Linked DNA regions of Schizosaccharomyces pombe. The gene in region 1 interacts genetically with each later gene. Each region holds a gene or a part of one and is shown in the gene's direction. Other genes may lie near its edges. The genes, in order: rrp6, exo2 and pof8.

Region 1 (3,756 bases):
GTTTTTTGAGAGCCCGTAAATTTAATTTGCAACAGTCGCTGGAAATGTTTATTAAATGCGAAAAGTGGAGAAAAGAATTTGGTGTTGATGATCTTATCAAAAACTTTCATTATGATGAGAAAGAAGCCGTTTCCAAATATTACCCTCAATTTTATCATAAAACTGACATCGACGGCCGTCCGGTATACGTTGAGCAACTCGGTAACATTGATTTGAAGAAGTTGTACCAAATCACGACTCCCGAGCGTATGATGCAAAATTTGGTTTATGAATATGAAATGCTTGCTTTAAAACGGTTTGTAAGTAAATTCAAATGATTAAATGTATCTCCAGTAATTCTCATAATCAAACCTTTCCTTTGGATTTGCATATTCCATATAAGGCTGGTTTTTCGGCTTTTTAATAGAAAAACTTTTGGTTTTCTACTGTGTTGAATTTTTTGTGATATATTTTTTCATTTTGATATTTCTTTTCATCTTTATTAACCGTCTTCAGCCCGCTTGTTCTCGTAAAGCAGGAGGCTTGATTGAAACTTCGTGCACAATCATGGATCTAAAGGGTGTTGGTATTACTAGTATTCACTCGGTTTACAGCTACATTCGTCAAGCATCAAGCATTGTAAGTTGAAAATGTTGAAATTTTTGTTCTTTTTTTTTTTTTTCAAGTATTAACACGTTAAAGAGTCAAGATTATTACCCCGAAAGGATGGGCAAGTTTTATGTAATTAACGCTCCTTGGGGATTCTCTTCTGCCTTTAATCTTATCAAAGGTTTTTTGGATGAGGCAACTGTCAAAAAAATTCATATTTTAGGCTCAAACTATAAGAGTGCTCTGCTCGAACAAATCCCTGCTGATAATCTTCCTGCTAAACTCGGTGGAAACTGCCAATGTCCAGGTGGCTGCGAACTATCTGACGCCGGTCCATGGCATGAAGAACAGTGGATGAACAAAAATTAGACTTCTTTCTCCGAACGGGATTTAATTGCTAGAATAGATGAATGTGGTTTGTCCTTTGATAAGAGTAATAGTGTGTAGAGTTTTTGCCGATCTTTCAACTTTGTTCTGCGTTTTAGTTCTTAAAGGTCTTCGTTCTATTTTTACTCAGCATCTCAGGTACTTCCTTCTACTTACGGTTTACTATTCGACGAAATTATCGTATATAGATCGAAGCATATATAAATATTTTATTTCGAAAGTCATGTGTTGATCCATCATCAACATCATGGGATGGTTGCTGTTACAATTCTTAATCCTTATAGAAGGTCTCAATACATATATCGTTCATTAATTTTCCAAAAAAGGACGCTCGATGATCCAACTGATTTGATTGTTTCATCCATTCTAGATTATCCGAAGTTTTTAAATTTGTAATTCATCTACTTTGATTATTTTTTTACTTTTTGATCAAAATTGAATGCCTATATTATAAAAGACCTCTCTATAGTTGCCTGCTAATAGTTTCACAATTTTGAACTAATCATAAATAATTGCTTTTACATAATTCTGCTAAGATTTTGCATTTGTGTAAAATATTTTATATATATAAAAATAGCTCTTGTATTTCGTACTTTAACGATGTCTATATTCAAGTTCGGTAATTCGTTGAGCGTGTGGTAAAAGTGCTTGAAAATTCCTGAACCAAACCAAAAACCTTACTGATCCAGTAGGGTAAACAATAGCATAATGGATGAGTCAGAATTGTTTAAGGGTTTAATGAATAGTACAGCCTATTGCTCTGAATTGGCAAAGGTTGATATACCGTTTTATAAATCAATTGATACCGAATTCAATGAAAACATAAAAAGTGTTTCTTCTCGTTTTATGAGATTAATTGAATTGCTTCTTTCTAAAGTAGACAGAAGTCGGGCGGAGGATATTGTGGACGTTGAAGATATAGATAATAGATGGGCAGAAGTATCGGACACATTAGACATACTCTTTGAAAAAGCTGTAAGTGAATTTTTGAAATTGTAAACGGATTTTATTTAACTAAGACGTATGAATATAGGACTATTCTATCGATAAAGCTCAAGGACTTTTAAAAAAGCCAGCGATCGAAACCCATGCGTCGACAAGCGATGTTGCCAATAAAAAACCAAAGAAAGAAAAGTTGCCCTACAAGGTTATTCACGCAGCTCATCTTACTAAGCCTCAATTAAGGTTTCGAGTACAGCCTAATAATTCCAGGGAGTTTGTGTGGTCTTGGAAGTTAACTGAAAAACCACATTCGTTAGTACCGCTCGAAAAGATTATCGCTCAAGTCAAATTGGACCCTAGTCTCAAAAACTCGTTACCACATCCATATGAACCAGAAATACAAAATAGCGTATATCCTCCATGGGTTTCAGAAATGTCTAATCCCATCGATACTGGCTCTGTCGACGAAACAGAACCTATCTGGGTTAGTACTGAAAGTCAGTTATCGGATATGCTAAAAGAATTACAAAACAGCAAAGAAATAGCCGTTGATCTTGAACACCATGATTACAGATCATTTAGAGGGTTCGTCTGTCTAATGCAAATTAGTAATAGAGAAAAAGATTGGATTGTTGACACCTTGGAACTCCGCGAAGAGCTTGAAGCTTTGAATGTTGTTTTTACTAATCCAAATATCATTAAAGTTTTTCATGGTGCAACTATGGATATCATTTGGCTGCAAAGAGATTTCGGGCTTTACGTTGTAAACTTATTTGATACATACTATGCTACTAAAGTTTTAGGATTTGAGGGTCATGGTCTGGCTTTTCTGTTACAAAAGTATTGTGATTATGATGCAGATAAAAGATACCAAATGGCTGATTGGAGAATCCGTCCTTTGCCTCGGGAAATGTTAAAATATGCTCAATCTGATACGCATTATTTGTTATATATTTGGGATCATTTACGAAATGAACTCATATCAAAATCAGCTGAAAGAAAAGAAAATCTTATGCAATCAGTGTTCAATTCCAGTAAACAAATATCTCTTAGAAAGTATGAACTTGAGCCTTATGATCCTATTTATGGACTTGGTACTGATGGCTGGAGAAATGTACTTACTAAGTTTGGCTCTTCTAAAATAATTGGACGGGAAGCTTTGATGATTTATCGAGCACTGCACGATTGGAGAGATTCCGTAGCCCGAAAAGAAGATGAAAGTGTTCGCTATGTGTTGCCAAATCGTTTACTTATTGCGATTGCCGCCAGTAAACCGGTTGAAGCGGCTGATGTGTTTTCAATTTCTAAGCAATTGACACCAATTGCTCGCATGTATGTTGAAGATATCGTTAAAGTCGTTCAAGAAGCCGAAAAGTTGTATAATGAGCAAGTAGATCGTGAGAAATCCCAATTTAAAGAAGTTGAGAAGCAAAATCAACCGCTAGCAGTTTTTTCCGAATCGAATACTTTGGGTGATTACAAAGTTGACTCCAGTGTTTTCGAGATTTCTAAACAAAATAGAAGTAAACTAAAGACTTTGCTGGCAAATGGATCTGCGTTTTGGATTGAGGGACAGTCGCAAGATGATTTACGGAAAGCTCGTAAAGAGAGACTCTTTATAGTGAACCAGAATATTCCTTTTTCATTAACTCTTCCTTGTACTCAAGGGCATGTTGAATCCGAATTGAATGTAAAGCAGTCCACTGTAACTGAAGCTGCAAACCCGAGTCTGAATGGAGAGAAGAAACAAGAGCCTATAGTCATTAGGGATTTAGGGCTGAACAAGCAAAAAAGGGATTCTTCTAAGCTTAATCATAAAGAACCCTCAAACCCCATAGA
Region 2 (3,756 bases), 1.2 Mb from region 1:
AGGATTATATAGATTCTCCTTTGAGGATGCAACCAGCCTCACTTTCTGGCGCATCTACACCAACTATTGATTTAGACGGGCTTTCTTGGCCTTGTAAGTAATGAAAGCATATTTTATACTCATTTAAGTATTCTAATACCAATTAGGTCAAGGAACACAACGTAGAATAGATACTGCTGAGGAAGAAAAAGTAAAAAAAATTTCCAATGCTATTTCAACAATTTTGGAATGTTTGGGAGAAGATCCTGAGAGACAAGGCCTTTTGGGAACACCTGAGAGGTATGCCAAGGCAATGCTTTACTTTACCAAAGGATACGAGCAAAATTTGACCGAAGTGATCAATGAGGCAGTATTTCAAGAAGATCACGAAGAAATGGTCATTGTTAGAGATATTGATGTATTCAGTTTGTGCGAGCATCATTTGGTTCCTTTTATTGGAAAAGTAGGTTTCATTTAGAAGTGGATTTTATCCATTGCATTCACGTGATTGGGCTATGCAATTATGTTTAACCCTCTTTCACAAACTCAGCGTATTAAACTAACATTATTGTAGATTCATATTGGTTATATTCCTCGTAAGCGTGTATTGGGACTTTCAAAGCTCGCACGTATAGCCAATATGTTTTCGCGTCGCCTACAGGTGCAGGAGCGTCTTACCAAACAAGTTGCCCAAGCTATTCAAGCTGTCTTAAAACCTCAGGGAGTTGCAGTCGTTATGGAAGCTACTCATATGTGCATGGTTATGCGCGGTGTTGAAAAACCGGGTAGCAGTACTGTTACTAGTAGTCTTACTGGTATATTTCAGAGAAGCCATAAAACTAGGGAGGAGTTTTTTAGATTGATTGGAAAATTTTAATTTTGGTTTTATTTTGTTCGTTAATCGCTAGAGGTGATACCGTCCGTAAATTCCTATTACAACTAAATGGTATTATATTTTTATTTTTTTTTGCATTCCAGTTTTTGAGTTGTTAAAACAATCACTTTTTTAAATATATCAATCCTTGCATATGTTTATTTATGCATACGATTTAGCAACCAAAGATTTTAAAAGCAGTCGAAAGTTCTCTCTCTATTACTCTTTAAAAATATGAATGCCCTTCTTCAGTTGTTTTTCACGAATTTTTTTTTTTTTTTTTTTGATATCTTAGTATTATGAGAAGAAATTCGAACACATGGTCGTTTTTCATATGGCTTATTTTATTTTCTTGAAAATTGACCGGAGCTATTTCACTCCACCTTACTATTATTAGCCTCAACGTGCTAAGGAAGACGTTATCCTAATGGAAAACTACTATTTAAGTTTTCTTTTTGAACGTTGTTTCGAATCACTTTTTTGGTTACATGGTAAATTAGTCCATGTTATTATATACATATATGAAGTTTCAACAATTTTATTAATTATTTACTAAGTTTTGCTGTGTAAGACTTTCAATTTGCAAGAGCTCAATTAATAGTTTATCATCAAATATATTATGAATGAATAATCTTTGTACCGTAATCGATAAGTATTGCAAGCAACTTACAGTGATTGTATTGATATACCCTAGACACATTATTATAAAGGTAAATGTCTCGTTAATTATAAAATTTGCCAATGTTTTTTAATCATCTACTACTGCTGCAGTTTCAATTAGTCGAAACGTATTTCTTGATAAATGTGTTTGATTTGTTTTTCAAACAACTAAACTCCTTCCTTCGCCTCAATGTTTAAGAACTTGCTCTATTTTAGACTCAGCTAGTCTCAAAGACTAACTATTTTGCCATTTGTATTTTTGTTGAAAAAAATGATAATATGATAATATCTTTACTCACAATGATATCGTTAAAAAGGCTTCTGTTAGTATGATATTAAATCAAAGAGGATCTACACATTTTCAATATTTCATGTACTATATAACTAACTCCTTAAACTTCACTAACCTGGGGCCTATCGATACGTGCAAGCACCGCATATGTTGACATTTGTTCTCTACTAACAACAATACTTTCTAAATTTATTCCTATTTAACTGTTAATGAGAAAGTTCGTTCAGTATGGGAATTCCAAAGGTTGTTATCGATATTTTGTATAAGTTTTTAACAATTAGTTTTTTCGATGGATGAGCGAAAGGTATCCGCTGTGCAGTCAGCTGATTGAAAACGATCGCATTCCCGAGTATGTCAATTTAAATCATCGTTTGAAACGTATGGAGCTAATTGAAATAGATTTGATAATCTTTATCTAGATATGAATGGTATTCTTCATAACTGTACGCATAAGAATGATGATCATTCCTCACCACCACTTCCAGAAGAGGAAATGTATATAGCCATTTTTAATTATATTGAGCATTTATTTGAAAAAATTAAACCCAAAAAGCTTCTATATATGGCAGTAGATGGATGTGCCCCACGTGCGAAAATGAATCAACAGCGCAGTCGCCGATTCAGAACTGCTAAAGATGCCCACGATGCGCGTTTAAAAGCAGAACGTAATGGGGAGGATTTTCCCGAGGAGCAATTTGACAGTAACTGTATAACGCCAGGTACAACTTTTATGGAGAGGGTTTCACGACAGTTATACTATTTTATTCACAAAAAAGTTACGAACGATTCCCAGTGGCAGAACATTGAGGTTATTTTCTCTGGCCACGATTGCCCCGGTGAGGGTGAGCATAAAATTATGGAATATATTCGAACCCAAAAGGCTCAACCTAGCTATAATCCTAACACTCGCCATTGCCTTTATGGTTTGGATGCTGATTTAATTATGCTAGGTCTTTTATCTCATGATCCACATTTTTGTCTATTACGTGAGGAGGTTACTTTTGGTCCGGCAAGTAGAAACCGTTCTAAGGAATTGGCTCACCAAAAATTTTATTTATTGCATTTAAGTTTATTAAGAGAATATCTTGAATTTGAATTTCAAGAATGCCGATCTACATTCACTTTTAAGTATGATCTCGAAAAAATCCTTGACGACTTTATTCTTTTAGCTTTTTTTGTCGGAAATGACTTCCTTCCCCATTTGCCTGGGCTTCATATTAATGAGGGTGCGTTAGCTTTGATGTTTAGTATATACAAAAAAGTTATGCCTTCTGCTGGGGGATATATTAATGAAAAGGGAGTAATCAATATGGCTAGATTGGAACTTATACTCCTCGAACTTGAGAATTTTGAGAAAGAGATATTTAAAGCTGAAGTTTCTGAGACAAAAAACAATGGGAACTCTGACAAACCATCTTTTGACTTTCTCAAATATATTACTGAATCAACAAATGATATTAAAGCCATGACAGGGGAGCAGAAAAATTATTTCTTACAGATTAAAAAGTTTTTGTCTTCTCGTGAGCCGTTCATTGATTTTAGTGCAAACATTTCTTCTGTTGATCAGCGCTTTCTACGACGTTTATGTAATGATCTTCATCTGTCATTTTCCAAAATTATAAAGGTAGACGGCACTCATCTATTAAGGATTACATTTAGAGATCTTGAATTTAATGATGAAGACGAAGATGAAATTGAGCAGGACGAAATCGAACGTGTACTTCAAAAGTATGATAACATTCCTTTGCTTAACGAAGAACAAGCTTTAAAAGAAAAAAACGTCGAAAAAGATTTTATCCAATGGAAGGATGATTATTATCGAAGCAAGGTTGGTTTTAGTTATTATGATGAAGAAGCTTTAAAAGCAATGGCTGAACGTTATGTTGAAGGTTTACAATGGGTACTTTTCTATTATTACCGTGGATGTCAGTCTTGGGGTTGGTATTACAAC
Region 3 (3,756 bases), 3.0 Mb from region 1:
ACGCAATTTCGAGGGGTATATACTTTGACATCGACTTTTCTATTGTGAAATTTGCTGGCTAGAGCACTTTTTAATCGACCCATATTTGTTTGCTCACCATGCACCAAAATCTATAATTAGTTAATTTTAACGTTACATTAGTAACTAAACATACAATGTGATCGGCATTTACCAGGTCAATGAATTCACTGTTTTGAAGATAATCAACATGAGCCGCAAAAGAAAGTTCCTCCACTGCCATTCTTCTAGGAATCTTTTGGCCTGAAAGTGACACAATTTCAATAGGCTCATTTGTAATTTGCTTTGCCATTGTCCCTTCAACAGAATAACCAGTAAGAAGTAACGTATTTCGAGGGTCAGGAGCCCATCTTTCTAAGAGGGTTCTTGAAACACCATTTTGTAGCATACCAGGACTTGCCAATATTACAGAAGGGCCAATATCATCGAATTTTTCTAAATTTCTTAGACTTTTGACAAAACGAAAGATGAACGGATTTCGTTCGGCAAAAATTTTTCGAATATTATCATTCATCATGTTAACATAAGTTTGAAAAATGGCCATACACTTTCTCGCTAGCGATGATGCATAATAGATAGGGACTGAGCGAAGATCGAGATGATTATTCCAATATTCATCGAGAATGAGTAATAACTCCTGAGCTCTTCCAAGAGCAAAGACAGGCATCAAAACTCTCCCTCCATTGCGAATAGTGGAATGAATAATATTTAACAGTCTAGCCTCCTTCTCCAGTCTTGGTTGGTGAGATGCTGTACCATACGTGGATTCTGTGATCAGCACATCTGGTCTTTTAGGAGGAACCTCAGCGACATGCAAATGGCGATCTTCTTCTCGTGAGTAGTCGCCTGTAAATAAAATATTGACTCCAGCCATTTCCACAAAATACATACAGGCACCCAAAACATGGCCCGCATGATAGGGTGTAAACTTTATACCCTCAACTTCTATAGTTGAATGGTAGTCAACAGCCTCGATTCTATCAAAAGCGGCTAACAAATCTTTCTCATCGTAAAGCTGATCTTCCATGCCTACATTACTGCGAGTTGTTAATGAATACTCAGAGCTAAGAATACATACCTCACTTTCACGTAGTCAGATAAAAGCCACTTGCAAACTGCCTTTGTAGGATGAGTCATGAAGACACGACCTCTAAAGTTCGTCTTTTGCATAACATAGGGAAGCGAGGCTACATGATCCAAATGGAAGCTTGCTTAAGTTAGAAATACTTTTCAAAAAAAAATGAATCAATGCCTAAGGGACCATAATAGTAATTGGTACAAGAAGTACTCTAATCTAATAACCTATGGTCGTCTCAAGTAGTGGTACAAAAGGGACTTACTGGCTAATTAAAAGTACATCTACAGTGCTCAAATCAAACTCATCAAAAAAAGGAAGAGCTGAAAGCCCAGTATACGCAGGGTGAACACCGGCATCGAGCTAGCAAAAATTAGCATTCACAATCATAACAAAATAAAAATTAAAATACCATTACTGTTTTCCCTTTGTATTGAATAACATGGCAACTGCGACCAACTTCATTTCCGGCTCCCAAGTTAATAAACTCCAGTAAATCCTGACATTGGTTAGAAAGTAGGCCCTTATAAAAAATCGTAAATTCAAGGCTTACGGATGGGTCTACAGGTGCATCTTCATCAAATTCCTTTCTTTTGGACATCTTTCCAAGGGCTTTTGTCTAAAAACCACAATTGGAAAGACAAGGTCGTGGGTGCTGGGCAAGCGCGAGTTATTCTTCACCTACGCATTCAACATAAATTGGGAGAAAGCAGAACAAAAATTTACAACCCTTTTTTTTTTAATTAAGAGCACCTAATTCTATTTATTATTAATGACTTCACTTTAATTGATACTAGAAAACCGTACTTTAAGGAGCGAAGTAAAATGTTTGTGCCAAGGCAACTGAATGTTCGCAAAATTAAAGCATTTACAGGGAAGGAAAATAATTCTATTGCAGATGGAAATAACAACAAATTGAAAGATGAGCATTACAAACATAATGAAGCCAGCAAAGAACCAAGTCATTCCATAAGCGGAGGACTCATGTTAAATCAACAAGATAGACAGCTTATTGAACCGTTAAATCCTGACTTTTTATCAGCCGTTGATTCTATATTAGAAATTTATTTTCACCGAGAAAGGCAAAAAGAAAAAGTGCACTTGGCCTTTTTAATCCAGCAAGATGATTTCTGGAAAGGAATCCGCCCGAATCCAACGCAAAATAACTTGAAGTATGCTTTATCTTATGTTACTAATGCGCTGTTTCATTTCGATAATTCCTCACACATGGTTATTAGAAATGAGAATATTGTTCTTCCTCTTGACATACCACTGTATGATAGAATTATTTACGTTGAACCAGTTCCGGCTACTCTGTCTAATAAAAGTTTACTTTTGGCTGGGAAACTTCGCAAATACCTCAAAGAGTTCCTTCCCTATGTTGATGCTATCGGTACTCCTGAAGGTTATGCTTTTGTAATTTTGTACAAAAAGGTTGATCAATCAGCACTTAGCAAGTTGCCTGTCCCTCCTGGATGGGTACTGTTGACTCGTAAAGAATGGACAAATCGTGAAGAAAAATATTTTGAAAATCAACTCCATTTAGTAAAAGCGTCATCTTCAGACGTTTCAAATTCATCCAATTCCTTTCCTGAAAATCGTTATCCCAAACTTACTAAAGTAGAAAAACAAATGACCAAGTCTGTATCCAAAACCTCACAAACTGATAAAGATGAAGATAATTTGGATTTTACCAAGAATCTTTTGACCCGTATCAAGAACCTCCATCCTTTAACTAATAAATCTACTATTCACAGCCTCTTGAGTTATGTTTTTTCGCGGCAAACTCAGAATATTGCATGTGAGCCCATGTATATAGACTATAGGAAGGACGAAACAGAGGCGATAATACGTTGGAAAACACCGCTTCATGCTGAGACGTGTATCAACGCGTTTCGTACACAAGAAAGGAAACAAAACAGTCATGATGATATTCGGGCACATAGGAAAAAGGGATCTAGCCGTCCATTCCTGATTGCTGAGCTAATTACCGGAGAAGAAGAAAAGAATTATTGGCGTATGTTAAAAAAGTAATATGTTTTCCTTTCTCTGGTAATACTAATTTGATTTATTTACTACTTTATAATATATTCTGGTAATATAGGCATACAAAAAGGTAACACGGTCGTTATTCTCACTTTAATACTAAATTTGCATTAACAGTTTTTTGTATTAATAACCCCTCTAATTTTCATTTGGCTGATAACCTATTGCGATCAGCAAAAATTCCAATAAACCATGAACCACAAATATGTAAAAACGGTTTACCACCCCACAATTGCAAAATTCTATTACTTAGATTTTAATTACATATTCTGTACATCATTGTTGCTCCCGGCTTGTATTTTCCTTAACGCCTTTTAACTACGAAACGTAATATTCTTCACTGCTAACAGTCTTAAAATGAAATATTTTCTGTATGTTATATATTAATTTAGCATACCGAAAAGTTCTTGAAATTGAGGTGTGTTTTCATAGGTCTGAGTTAAATTCTTACATCTGCCATTCTAGTCTACCACAAACCATTCTCATGTCTTCACGAGCTTTACGGAAACTTCAGCGTCAAAGACAAACCGAGCTATTGGAAGAAGCTTTAGACAGTGAATCTGATGAGGATGACGAGTTTTCTTCAACTTCCGGGAAAAAAGTAGTAAACGTGTTCG

Evidence for each region.
Region 2: mutations in rrp6 (region 1) and exo2 are lethal when combined (synthetic lethality), as found in Schizosaccharomyces pombe (one study listed by BioGRID).
Region 3: of rrp6 (region 1) and pof8, a mutation in one rescues a mutant of the other (synthetic rescue), as found in Schizosaccharomyces pombe (2 studies listed by BioGRID).

What each region holds. Positions count from the first base shown.
Region 1 is NC_003424.3:609,203-612,958, forward strand, and holds the start of rrp6 (exosome 3'-5' exoribonuclease subunit Rrp6), read left to right. Parts: upstream 1-1,645; 5' UTR 1,646-1,683; coding exon 1,684-1,950; exon of another isoform or gene 1,951-2,008; coding exon 2,009-3,756. Other genes in the region: spo20 (sec14 cytosolic factor family, phospholipid-intermembrane transfer protein Spo20/Sec14), read left to right, coding at 1-299, 496-618, 682-957.
Region 2 is NC_003424.3:1,776,516-1,780,271, forward strand, and holds the start of exo2 (exonuclease II Exo2), read left to right. Parts: upstream 1-1,974; 5' UTR 1,975-2,033; coding exon 2,034-2,048; exon of another isoform or gene 2,049-2,086; coding exon 2,087-2,154; exon of another isoform or gene 2,155-2,194; intron 2,195-2,204; coding exon 2,205-3,756. Other genes in the region: fol2 (GTP cyclohydrolase), read left to right, coding at 1-93, 147-442, 554-856. UniProt on the Schizosaccharomyces pombe protein: Multifunctional protein that exhibits several independent functions at different levels of the cellular processes. 5'-3' exonuclease component of the nonsense-mediated mRNA decay (NMD) which is a highly conserved mRNA degradation pathway, an RNA surveillance system whose role is to identify and rid cells of mRNA with premature termination codons and thus prevents accumulation of potentially harmful truncated proteins.
Region 3 is NC_003424.3:3,621,951-3,625,706, forward strand, and holds pof8 (LARP7 family RNA-binding protein Pof8/Lar7), read left to right. Parts: upstream 1-1,772; 5' UTR 1,773-1,918; coding exon 1,919-3,127; 3' UTR 3,128-3,421; downstream 3,422-3,756. Other genes in the region: cleavage and polyadenylation specificity factor complex endoribonuclease subunit Ysh1, read right to left, coding at 1-110, 155-1,055, 1,097-1,225, 1,359-1,456, 1,506-1,592, 1,647-1,694; protein Rqc1, read left to right, coding at 3,624-3,756. UniProt on the Schizosaccharomyces pombe protein: RNA-binding protein required for assembly of the holoenzyme telomerase ribonucleoprotein (RNP) complex. Specifically binds telomerase RNA ter1 and promotes assembly of ter1 with catalytic subunit trt1.